Linked DNA regions of Caenorhabditis elegans. The protein of the gene in region 1 interacts with the protein of each later gene in a pairwise test. Each region holds a gene or a part of one and is shown in the gene's direction. Other genes may lie near its edges.

What was found.
Region 2: the proteins of gsk-3 (region 1) and pry-1 interact in binary tests that used the Caenorhabditis elegans proteins (3 or more experiments, as listed by UniProt).
Region 3: the proteins of gsk-3 (region 1) and axl-1 interact in binary tests that used the Caenorhabditis elegans proteins (3 or more experiments, as listed by UniProt).

Annotation. Positions count from the first base shown.
Region 1 is NC_003279.8:12,817,181-12,820,937, forward strand, and holds the start of gsk-3 (Glycogen synthase kinase-3), read left to right. Parts: upstream 1-2,035; 5' UTR 2,036-2,181; coding exon 2,182-2,274; intron 2,275-3,354; coding exon 3,355-3,623; intron 3,624-3,757.
Region 2 is NC_003279.8:14,177,696-14,181,452, reverse strand, and holds the start of pry-1 (Axin-like protein pry-1), read left to right. Parts: upstream 1-2,092; 5' UTR 2,093-2,096; coding exon 2,097-2,201; intron 2,202-3,097; coding exon 3,098-3,160; intron 3,161-3,219; coding exon 3,220-3,309; intron 3,310-3,354; coding exon 3,355-3,492; intron 3,493-3,757. UniProt on the Caenorhabditis elegans protein: Works in parallel with axl-1 in negatively regulating bar-1 signaling in vulval precursor cells and Q neuroblasts. Inhibits Wnt signaling, which affects tissue specific expression of Hox genes, egl-5, lin-39 and mab-5.
Region 3 is NC_003279.8:8,511,844-8,515,600, forward strand, and holds the start of axl-1 (Axin-like protein 1), read left to right. Parts: upstream 1-2,056; 5' UTR 2,057-2,075; coding exon 2,076-2,147; intron 2,148-2,281; coding exon 2,282-2,482; intron 2,483-3,377; exon of another isoform or gene 3,378-3,482; coding exon of another isoform or gene 3,483-3,548; intron 3,549-3,757. Other genes in the region: K02B12.2 (Myb_DNA-bind_3 domain-containing protein), read right to left, coding at 1-391, 445-508. UniProt on the Caenorhabditis elegans protein: Works in parallel with pry-1 in negatively regulating bar-1 signaling in vulval precursor cells and Q neuroblasts. Shown to have a role in excretory cell development.

The DNA of each region.
Region 1 (3,757 bases):
TACTTAAAGAAAACGGGAAAAAATTTCAAAACGGCACATTTCCGGCAAACGGCAAATCGGCAAATTACCGAGAATGAAAAATTCCGGCAAATCCGCAAACCGGCAAGTTCGCAAAAAAAATTGCCAAATTTCCGTCCACCCTTAATTGGACATTCCCGACATTGCCGAATTTCAACATTTCCGATACAAAAATAAATATAAAATCAGTATAGAATGAAAATAGAAACCATGGGAACATTGAATATGCTTATTTCCACATTGATAGCGCATTTCTTCTTCTTCTTTTTTCTTTTTCATTTCCTTTTTCTTCTCCATCTCACCATATTTTTGCCCATTTCCTCCATCAGACACGCGCTCGCGCTCACTCGCTCACCACACTCAATTTTAGCTGTTTTTCCTTCTTTTCCACCCCCTCATATTGACTGACACATATATATTATATATATATATATATATAAAGATACATATATGCAAATTGATGTTCGGCAAATTGACATTGTGCAATTTGCCGAACATGAAAATTTCCGGCAAACTGGCAAACCGGCAGTTTCCCGGAAAACAATTTTCCGAACGACAATTGCCAGTTTTCCGGTATATATATTTATATATTCCCTATTACGATCAATATAGAATCCTGTTTAGCCAAAATCTTTTTTGATTTTTCCCAAGGAACAACATTTTAAAAAAATACGTACCTTTTTATTGCCACGAAATTTAATTGGAAAAAATCAATTTTGAAATAAAATGTATTTTTGTATTTATATAAAAAGCAATTCTATTTATTTTTAAAACGTGTTGGATTAGTTTTTTAAAATAAAAAAAACAACACCGAAATTTAGTCATTTTTCGTTCAATCGTTAGTGAGAAGCGGTGAGTTTTGGCGATTTTGAGCATTTTCCGTTGAAAATATGAGTAATTTCCTATTAAACTGGTTATTTCGATCGCGCTAGTGAAATTTCTTGAAATTGTGTAGCAAAATGGGCTTACATGCTATTTTAAGATGAGCAATTGAAGCATTTTATTTTGATTCAGTCAGAATTTTGAAATACTTACGAAAATAGCAATTATATCAATTCCAAATCAAAAAATATGGTACTTATGGGTTTCGTTCCCCCCAAAATGATTTCCATATTTTCTAATTGATACGTGAACTTTTTTTTCATTCCCAGGCTTAGGGAAATGATTTTCTAAGCCTTGTAAAAATGAAAACAGTATTAAAATAAACAATAACGTGTGGATTAAAATTAAAAAGGTAGTGTTGAATAATTAAAAATCATTTTGGGGGGAACGAAACCCATAAGTACCAAAAATATAGTTTCTTCTAGAAATATATTTTTTATTGCCGCTAAATTTAGAAAAATTCAATTTCGAATGAATATGTATTTATTTATTTTGAAAAAAACGTACATTAAAACGTGTCGGATTAGATTTTACTTCCCTTTTTTTAATTTTAAAATTCAAAAAATTCATTTCTATATTTAAAAATTTGGCAGTTTTGGCGTTTCCCTTTTATTACAGTGAGTTAGCCAACTTTTTCGAGCTAATAACATTACATTAAGCTTTAGAAAAAACTTTAGAAGTTTTGAGAAATACTACTTTTAAAACTTCGATTTTTTCAATTTTTGGCTAAATTCTATTCTAGTTTGAATATCCTCCAAAATGAGAGCTCCCCTACGACTATTTTGGATTTTTTGAAGCGAATCCTAAAAAAATGGGCTGAAAATGCCAAAAATCGTCTAATTTCCAGTAAAGTTTTTTGGCGAAATCCATATTTAACAGCTCTTTAATAGTCCTACAAATTCGACAAATTGCCGATTCGTCGGAAATTGGCCGGTTTACCGATTTGCCAGAAAAAGTCGTTTGCCGCCCACCCCTGTTCCCACTTTGGCTAGGAATTCCTAAAAGTTTATCGAATTTTGAAATGTTACTCCATTTCACCTCATATTTGCCTTAAATATCACCCATTTTTATACGTTTCCTCGTATTTTTCAAACCCAACGCCCAAATGAAATATTTTATTATTTTTTATTTTCAGGTGAATAGCCTCATTCTCTCCGTTTTCCCTCTCAAAAAACCACATCATATCCTCATCATCTAATCTCTGGCTCTTCTCATTTATTGGACAGAGCTCATATATACACACACACACACAAGAATCAAATCAATCAGTAGTGTGGTGTGATGAATAAGCAGTTACTATCGTGCTCGCTGAAAAGCGGAAAACAAGTGACGATGGTCGTCGCGTCAGTCGCCACGGATGGTGTTGATCAGCAGGTTGGTTTTGAGTGAGGAAATTTTAATTTTCTCGGAGAAATTTGGATGAAAAGAAGTTGGATATCAGAGGTGGGCGGGTATTTTTTTCGGATATTTTCTAATAATGAATTTATCAATAAGTATTGATGTAGTTATTCTGGAAAAAATGTATCCGAACAAAAGAGTAACTATTAAGCAACATTTTAATATGATAAAACCTAAAAAAATTCTACAAGTTTTCTGTATAAACGATATGCAAGTCCATTATCCGATATCCGTAATATCCGTAATATCCGATTGCTTAATAGTTACTCTTTTGTTCGGATACATTTCTTCCAGAATAACTACATCAATACTTATTGATAAATTCATTATTAGAAAATATCCGAAAAAATATCCGCCCACCTCTGGTGGAAATGCATGAAAATGAGGATTTTCACAAAAAAAAACTCTTTGGAAGTGATACAAATATATTTTTCGATATTTAGTACAACACAATAAATGAGTTATTACGTGTTTATCCACAGATAAGAAAAATCGCCATATCTGCCGCGCAAATGAACCCGCGGGAAGAGACAAAACTACTGTAGTTTTTAACCAATTTGTGTAGATTTACGAGCTATTGCGTCATCGTTGAATTTAATTTTGAGCCGCAATTTTTAATTTTCAGGCGTGTTTCACTCTTTTTTATATTGAAATTTATCTATTTATTGAATAAATCTTAAAAGAAAACACAAAAAAATTAGAAAAACGCCTGCAAATTAAATTCAACGATGACGCAATAGCTCGTAAATCTACACAAATTGGTTAAAAACTACAGTAGTTTTATCTCTTCCCGCGGGTTCATTTGCGCGGCAGATATGGCGATTTTTCTCATCTGTGGATAAACACGTAATAAATAGGTTGACAAAATTGTTCTCCTTTTCCTCGTGGAGTACACGATTTTACTCAAGCACTTAAAATATCAATTTCTTCAAAAAAAAAAAAAGGAAATTTGCTGGAAAACTAGCTGATAAAATGTGAAAAAATTATTATTAAAAAATCTCCAAACGAAAAAAAACACTGTAATTCAAATTTTAATTAAAAAAAAATGTATTGTAGGTTGAAATCTCGTACTACGATCAGAAAGTGATTGGAAATGGATCATTCGGAGTGGTATTCCTTGCCAAACTCTCTACAACAAATGAAATGGTTGCAATCAAGAAAGTTCTTCAGGACAAACGATTCAAGAATCGTGAACTACAGATTATGCGAAAATTGAATCATCCAAATATCGTGAAGCTCAAATACTTTTTCTATTCGAGCGGCGAGAAGAAGGATGAACTCTACTTGAATTTGATTCTCGAATATGTTCCTGAAACTGTCTACAGGTTATTTTTATTAGGATTTTTAAAAATTTCTGGAAAATTTCAGTTTTTAGCGGAATTTTTTTGTTCAAAAATAAAGAGAATTTCTTATTTAAAAATTGAAAAAAAAAATTTTTTTGGAAATTTTTAAATAAAAA
Region 2 (3,757 bases), 1.4 Mb from region 1:
CCGAAAAAAAAAAGATTTGTGAAGATCTCCGCCAATAAAAAACATCAAAAAGTGCCGCTTCTTCAAGGTTTTTCACAATTTTTGGCGGCGGGGAGAGGAGGCGCAGCAAGTCGGAGTGGACGGCGGGCTGGAGAGAAATATGAATAAATCGACAAGACGCAGGCACGTGTCGGCGAACATCAAAGAGTCGCTGGTTTTGAAGAAGGGGGCGCCTCCATTCTCACACCGACCGCCCGAGAAGAAGAGAGAGGAGGCACTTCACCCCCCAATTCTCTTTTCCTTCTCCTTTTCTCTTTACCCCCCTTGATTTTCCTACCCCCATCTTTTTCCTAAATCCTTCTGTTTTACCCATTTTCCTTTTTAGACCATCTTTGGGACTATAATATTTGCTTTGAAAACTGGAAAATTATATGAAAAATCCAGTTTTTAAATTTATTTTAGGCTCAGTTTAGGCCAAACTATTTTAGGTCTTTTTTAGGCGTAAAAATTTGAAAATTTTTAGACTCGGTTTAGGTCAAACCATTTCATGGCCAAATTTCGGCTTGAAATCTAAAAAAAATTACGGTAAAATCTTATTTTTTGAAATGTTTGAAAACTCAAAATATTCCAAGAAAAAAAAAACTAGTTTTACAACATTTTTCTGGGTTTTCTTAAAATCCTTGTTGGGCTAAGAAATTTTAAACTAAGAAATTTTGCTGAAATCTTAAAAAAATTGTGTTGTTTGAGGTTTACTGGCCAAATTTTAGACTTTTTTTTTAATGGCGATAATTTCAAAAAAATCAAGTTTTTACAGCGTCACATTTTTTAAACATTTTTTAAGCTTAAACTATGAGATAGCAAAAAATTGTCTACTAACAAAATAATTACCGTAAAATTTCCTACATTTTATTAATAGCCAACTTTTCGATTGCTTCAGGCTCCACAGAGTTATAACGGTTTGAACTCAAGAGGCGCTAGGCTCCTTTTAACTTCAAACCTCTATAACTCTACAAATAAAAAAGCTAGCAAAAAATTGTTAACTATCAAAATAATTATCATAAACTTTCCTACATTTTATTTATTGGAAACTTTTTGATACCGTCATTTTCTGCAGAATTACAGGATTTTGAACTTGACCTCTACGCCTCCCTTGGCCCCCAGTTTTAACTTAAACCCCTATAACTCTGCACACAATGGTGCTAGCAAAACATTTGAACTGACAAAATAATTGCTATAAAACGTCCTACAATATGCTAGTTAACAACTTTTTGATGGCATCAGTCTCCGCAGAGTTACAGCTATTTGAACTTGACCTCTAAGCCTCCCTTGGCCCCCAGTTCCAACCTAAAAGCTCCATAACTCCGCAGAGAGCAGAGCTAGCAAAAAGTTGTCAACTAACAAAATAATCTACGTACAATTTTCTACATATATTCAATTTAAATTTTTCTGCTAGACCAACTTACCAGCAAGATCAACGCCCCTAAAGTTAGGGGCCCCTCCCGGTAGCCGGTCGAGCGTCCCCAGTAAACTCTTCCGGGGGCACCCGAAACAATGTTCACTCATCAATCGTTGTCATCTTTCTGGAGACATGTGTCTTATCTGTGTGTGTGTACTACTACTCTTCCCAATACACCCCATTACTCTCCGTCACTATCTCTGCGTCTCTCACCCCCGCCACTCTCTCGCTCTCGCCCATTCATTGAGTAAGCGAGGGGCCTCATTCCTTGATTATCAGCCACTGATAGGAACAATAAGACACCCATAGTTGTTCCATTTTTGCAATTAGAGAGGGAATAGTGACGCTTATAATATATTGTATATCCTATATCTTATCACAGTTTTTTTTTTTTTTTTTTGTGTATAGTTTTGGCCTATTTTATAGGTTTTGAGGGGGTCAAACTGCTAAGTTTAAATAAAATTTGTTTAATTTTCAGTAAAAGCGTCATTAGAAAAGTTTTGAACAAAAAATTGAAAAAAAAAATTTTGGCAAAAAAATTATTTTTTTAAAATTTTTTCAAAAAAAAATTTCCCTCGATTTTTCAAGTTTTTCTCTACTTTTTTTTTTGAATATTCTCTTATTTCAACATAATCATAAAATTCACCTCCTTTTCAGGTGCATGGAGACCCATCTCGGTTGGGCGCGAAGCCTGGAGGCCGTTCTATCCGATCGATCGGCACTCGACGCGTTTCAGGAATGGCTTATTGAGTACTCCTCGCCTCAGGTAACTTTTTTTTTGGGATTTTTCTGCGAAATTTGGATTTAGCTTGCCGAGAGCTTCAAAATAAGTATAATCATGACATTTTTACGATGATTTTGAAAATTTTTAGGTTTTGGCGCAAAATTTTTAGATTTTCTTTTGCTGCGGGACCCAAAGTTCCAATATTTGAAATTTTTACTTGTTTTCGGATGTAGCTTGTCAAGAGCTTCAAGATGAGTATAATTATGCCTAGGTTACTTCAAACTTGAAAGAATCTGGGTCTCACCGCGAAGGTTATTACTGTAGTCCCAAATTTTCGTGGCGAGACCCTAATTTTTCAACCTTTGCGGAACCTGGACATCATTATACTTATCTAAAAGCTGACAGCGAGCTGACTTCGAATTTTATAGTTTTGCAGGCGAAATCATAATTTTGTGAGAATTTTGACCAGTTACAAGGAAAGTCTGCGATTTCACGTTTTTTCGAAAATTTTTTGCGAAAATTTCAACTTTTTTTAATTTTCGAGATAAATTTCTCATAATTTAATCAATCTTTTCATGCGCTTTTGGAAAAGCATAATCATGACCACGTTTCGCAAAACGTTGGGTCCCACCACGCAACCCATGGGGTTCTGTAGTTGTTTGTCGTTGTGGGACCCCATAAAAATTAAATTTATTGAAATTCATACACAGCATCCTGAGAGCTTTGAAATAAGTATAATAGTCTAGGTTCCGTCAAAAAAAAGTTGGGTCTCACCACGAAATCTACTACTGTGGCCCCACATTTTCGTGGCGAGACCCAATTTTTTCAAACTTGACGGAACTCATGCATGATTATACTTATTTCAAAGCTCTCAGCAAGCTAAATTCAAATATTGACTTTAAATTTCCGAATTCTCTAAAAAAATAAGAAATTTTCAGTACCTCGACTTGTTCTTCGCAATCCGAGCATACGAACGAATGGCGTTGGAGGGAAAACCGGAGGTATTGATTTTTTTGCAACTTTTTTGGCAAATCGGGCAATATTTATCTATTTTTTTTAGAAATCCCAACTTTCCAAGTCAATATACTCGAAATTTTTGTCCTCTCGGACCGGAAACTGCGAAGCAATTCCCAAGCATTTTAGGGCTCCGGTAAGCTTTTCTTAAAATTTTTTAAAATCAAAAATTAATTTTTGGATTGGTGAAAAACTACGTCATGGCACCGAATTAGAGGATCGGGTATTCAGTCATTGTTCGAATTTTGTTCAAGAATTTTTAAGACGCCAACACGAGGAGTTTGTGGGCTCCGAAGAGTTTATTGAGGCTTTTAATAAGGTAAATTGTTTTTTTTTTTAATTGTGAAAATTTGAATTTAGCTCACTGAGAGCTTTAAAATAAGTATAATCATGCCTAAGTTCCGTCAAATTTGATAGAAGTTGGGTCTCACCACGAAAACCTACAGTAACCCAGGATTTTCTTGGCGAGACCGAGGTTGTTTGGAAAATTTACAGAATTTGCGAAACCTATGCATTCTTAATGTAATATCGGCGGTCTCAGTTCAGATTTTCAGAATTTTGGCGAAAATTTTAGGGTTTTCCAA
Region 3 (3,757 bases), 4.3 Mb from region 1:
ATTTCAACGTTATCCAGTGGATCGTATTGATTCTCAGTTTCAGCAACAAGACTTTCAATTGCTTTATCAATTTTATCTGAAGATTCCATAAGTTTCGTCTCTTCACGCGCAACTTTCTTTTCGATTTTTGCCTCAATTTTTGGTTTGACTTCTTCTGATTTTCTCTTTTTCGCTGGTGACGGTTTGCTATGAATATCCTCTGCGTTGTGCTCATCTGGCATATCTAATAGTTCGATAATAAGTGTATTCCATTCAATTGTATCCTCATCATCTTTTCTGTATTGAAGATAATCGATCATTTTCTTCTGAAGTGCATCCAATTTCGGAAGAACCCATGTGCAATTCCCGCATTTGCTTAGATCGGTTGTAGACTTTACATGAGTAGTGTAATCTATAATACGGATATTTATTGGGAATCTTGTAAAGAAAAATAAAATAACTTACGATTAACTATCACTAGAAATTCCTCGATTCTCATTTGATCCACAGATTCATCGGCCATAATCATTTTTTTGTTGAAAAATCAGAACTGTTCAAAAAATTGGATAACTATCGAATGTAGAAAGATTCAAATGACTACATCTATGAGTGTCATGCAATGGTGCTCAAAACCGATCGATTTGTTGCTCTAAACCTTTAGGAAGGTCCGTTCTTCCACCATAGAGTCTCTCAATACACCTGTCTATAATTAGTCTCTCCCTTTCAATGTCTCTTATCTAATCCGTCGACTACCATGTGCACGAAAACATTCTCGAGAGCAGAGATTTTAAGGGAAAAGATAATTATAATGGAATCCAGGAAATGAGTGTAGTTCGATATCAGTTGTTGATAACATTCCGGAAGAGTTCAATGGTGGCCTATAAGGTCATCAGTGCTCTTGCCCGCCTTCGACACTTTTCCCAATAATAGAAATTCCAAAATTATACTAAACTACGGAGTTCACCCCAAATGCACAAAAGACACTTTACTTTCAATTCGAAACTTCTATTGTTTTCAGAAAGTATATCATTCGATCCCAAACTCTCTGGACACCAAAAAAGGTTTTCTAGTCAGAGTAGACATTTTTATATGCAAAGAATTGAGTAATATACTGTCATAATATCAAATTCGTCAATTTCAGTTATATCATGTGTGTACTGTTGAAGAGTACATCCATCCCCATCTGTTCCCACATCTGTCAGTTCATTTGTGTCGGCTGAATGTAAAAGTAAGTGAGTCAATCCATCGAAGGTCAACTTCTCGCGCGAAACGACACACTCCTTGATTATGGAAATTTCAAAACTGCTATATGCCCACATTCGCTATGCATTCCATGGTTTTATATTTTAACAATTTAAAAATTGATACATCAATATTTATCGAATTTTACTACATGTTTTCTTTCAGAAATCGGTGCTCTTAGTTTTAGAAAAATTGAAAATAGTGACAATAAGTGTTTCGGACAGTTTAACGTCACGAAAGACATTCTTTCCAGTAAGAATTCCGAAGGAAGTAGCCCCCACTTTTACTGATATGCCAACTTCTCGCGATAGACGCATTCGAGATAAAAAGCGAGTTTTCAATAATTAATAAAGTGAAGAAATTTCAAATCAAAACAAGAAACCCACGGCTTTTATAACTTCAGTTTTAAGACTACTTTAGAATAAACAAGGTGATAACCATCAATTCCCGAATTGAAAAAGTTAGAAAATCCTTCCAAATATTGAACTCTACTAGAAAGCTTGCATTTTGGCAGAATTTTTTTTATATAGACTTTTCAGCTATATACTCTAAATCGTGCTATAACATTTTAAACCCTTATTTTACGAGACTTGAACACAAATTTCTCCATTTCCTGTCTCCACACTCATTCTCTCCCTCTATCGTCAATTTATTTGCCAAGACGGTAGGGCTCTCGATCGGTTTGACACAATATCTCATCTCTTTCCGTCTAACATTTCGACGTTTTTTTCGCGCATTTGCTCAATCTCCACCCATACTTCAAATATTTAATCATTTTTAACCCAAGTTTTTCTTGTTGATAAATGATCTTACATGGGTAAAATACAAAACTTTCAGTATGAAACGAAGAAATAATGACGATGCGATCGAAATTCTCCATTGATCGAGTTCTTCATGATACCGCATTTGCCAAATGGTGTCAAAAGGTAGAGTAATCGTTGTATCGTTTGGAAAAATCGTATTGTATACAGTAATTACGTTCTGAAAATTAATTTTTTTAATTTATGAATCTATGTAAATATAATTAAATTTCCTGCCAAATAATTAAATCATGTTCTAGGAAGAATCGCGGAACGCCGATTCGATAACCCTGTACACGTCAATTTTGGATTTTGAATCCAAACTGAAAACTGGTTCTCCATCTCTATCTCTTTTAAAATTGGCTAGGCATATTCATCGAAAATACGTCAGTTTGAATACTGGAACATGCCACGTCATCGGTGATTCAATACGCACTAAGATCTCCACACGGGTACATGAGGTAATGATCAATATACTTGTTAATGTTTGTCTAGTCAGTTGAAATATCGTCGGTTGGAATATTTGTAAAAAATACTTATATGATAGTCAAGCATGCCCAAATATTTAATTTAATAACTCCATTTTTGATATTTCGAAAATTTCAGTCAAATTTTCAAAAATTGTACTTTTGATAACTTCTGAACATTCCTGCACGTCCGAATCAGATGTGGGCAACATTTTTGGAGTCCAGAAGTTATGAAAAATCAATAAATTGTTTCCCTGCGAATATTCTAGGTCAAAATCAACAAATCCAGCAAAATCGAAATTTTTGAACAAAAATGTGGTCAACTTTTCGTTTTCTCCTGATTTTGAGCCTTGATGCTAATTTTGTTTCCTAAACTGTACATTTTTTTCTCCGTTTTTTTTGCATTTACAAGCTTTCAATATTATTAAAAAATTACAAAAATTACTTTAAAAACTTCGCAAAAGTTTTCGATCGGAGTTTTGAATAAAATTGTTTTTTGATTTCTTGTCCTAAGAAACCTGATTCAAATCTCTACAATGTTCAAATACTAATAACTAAAACATAACCTAAAAAAATCAAAGAAGGTTTTGATATGATAATCATTCATTCTAGCACCACGGGAGTAGTTTTTTGAAAACTACCCCACTTGCCATACTTTACCTTTACTTTGGAATATTTACTCAAATTTAGGCAGCCGTTTTTCCGTAGAACCGCAGGATTTTTTCATCTCTCCGAACATTTCTCGGGCGTGTTCTCTGTTCTTTCAAGTGATAAAAAAGAAGAGAAACAGTTTGGCAGTTCTTTTCTTCGGATACCTGTCAAGTACCATGTGCATACACACAAAAGACACAGTGAGGACACTTAACACAAATTCTTAGTGTAGATCAACACAGGTTGACACGTCATTAGGCTTGAAAGTGTTGGTCAACACAAAGAGAAGAAGTGCTTCATTTCTTCAAATAGATATTTATTAGTTTTTGATTTTGTTACCTCCATGGCTACAATGTCGAGACGGTGGAATTATTTCACACCCCATTATAATGATGAAGGTTCAATTGATGTGAGTAATTGATTATTGTTTCAATTTTTATACTTTTTCTAGTAATTTCATATTTATTAAAATACTGCTTTATGAAAAATCGCTCGTTAAAAGATTTTACAGTTCCGACTATTTTCGAGCATTGCCGTAGGGTCACCTTCCTAAAATTTTCCTAAAAGTTTCAGATCCGGCATTTTAAAAATATTTAAATTTTCAAAAAAATGGACGTA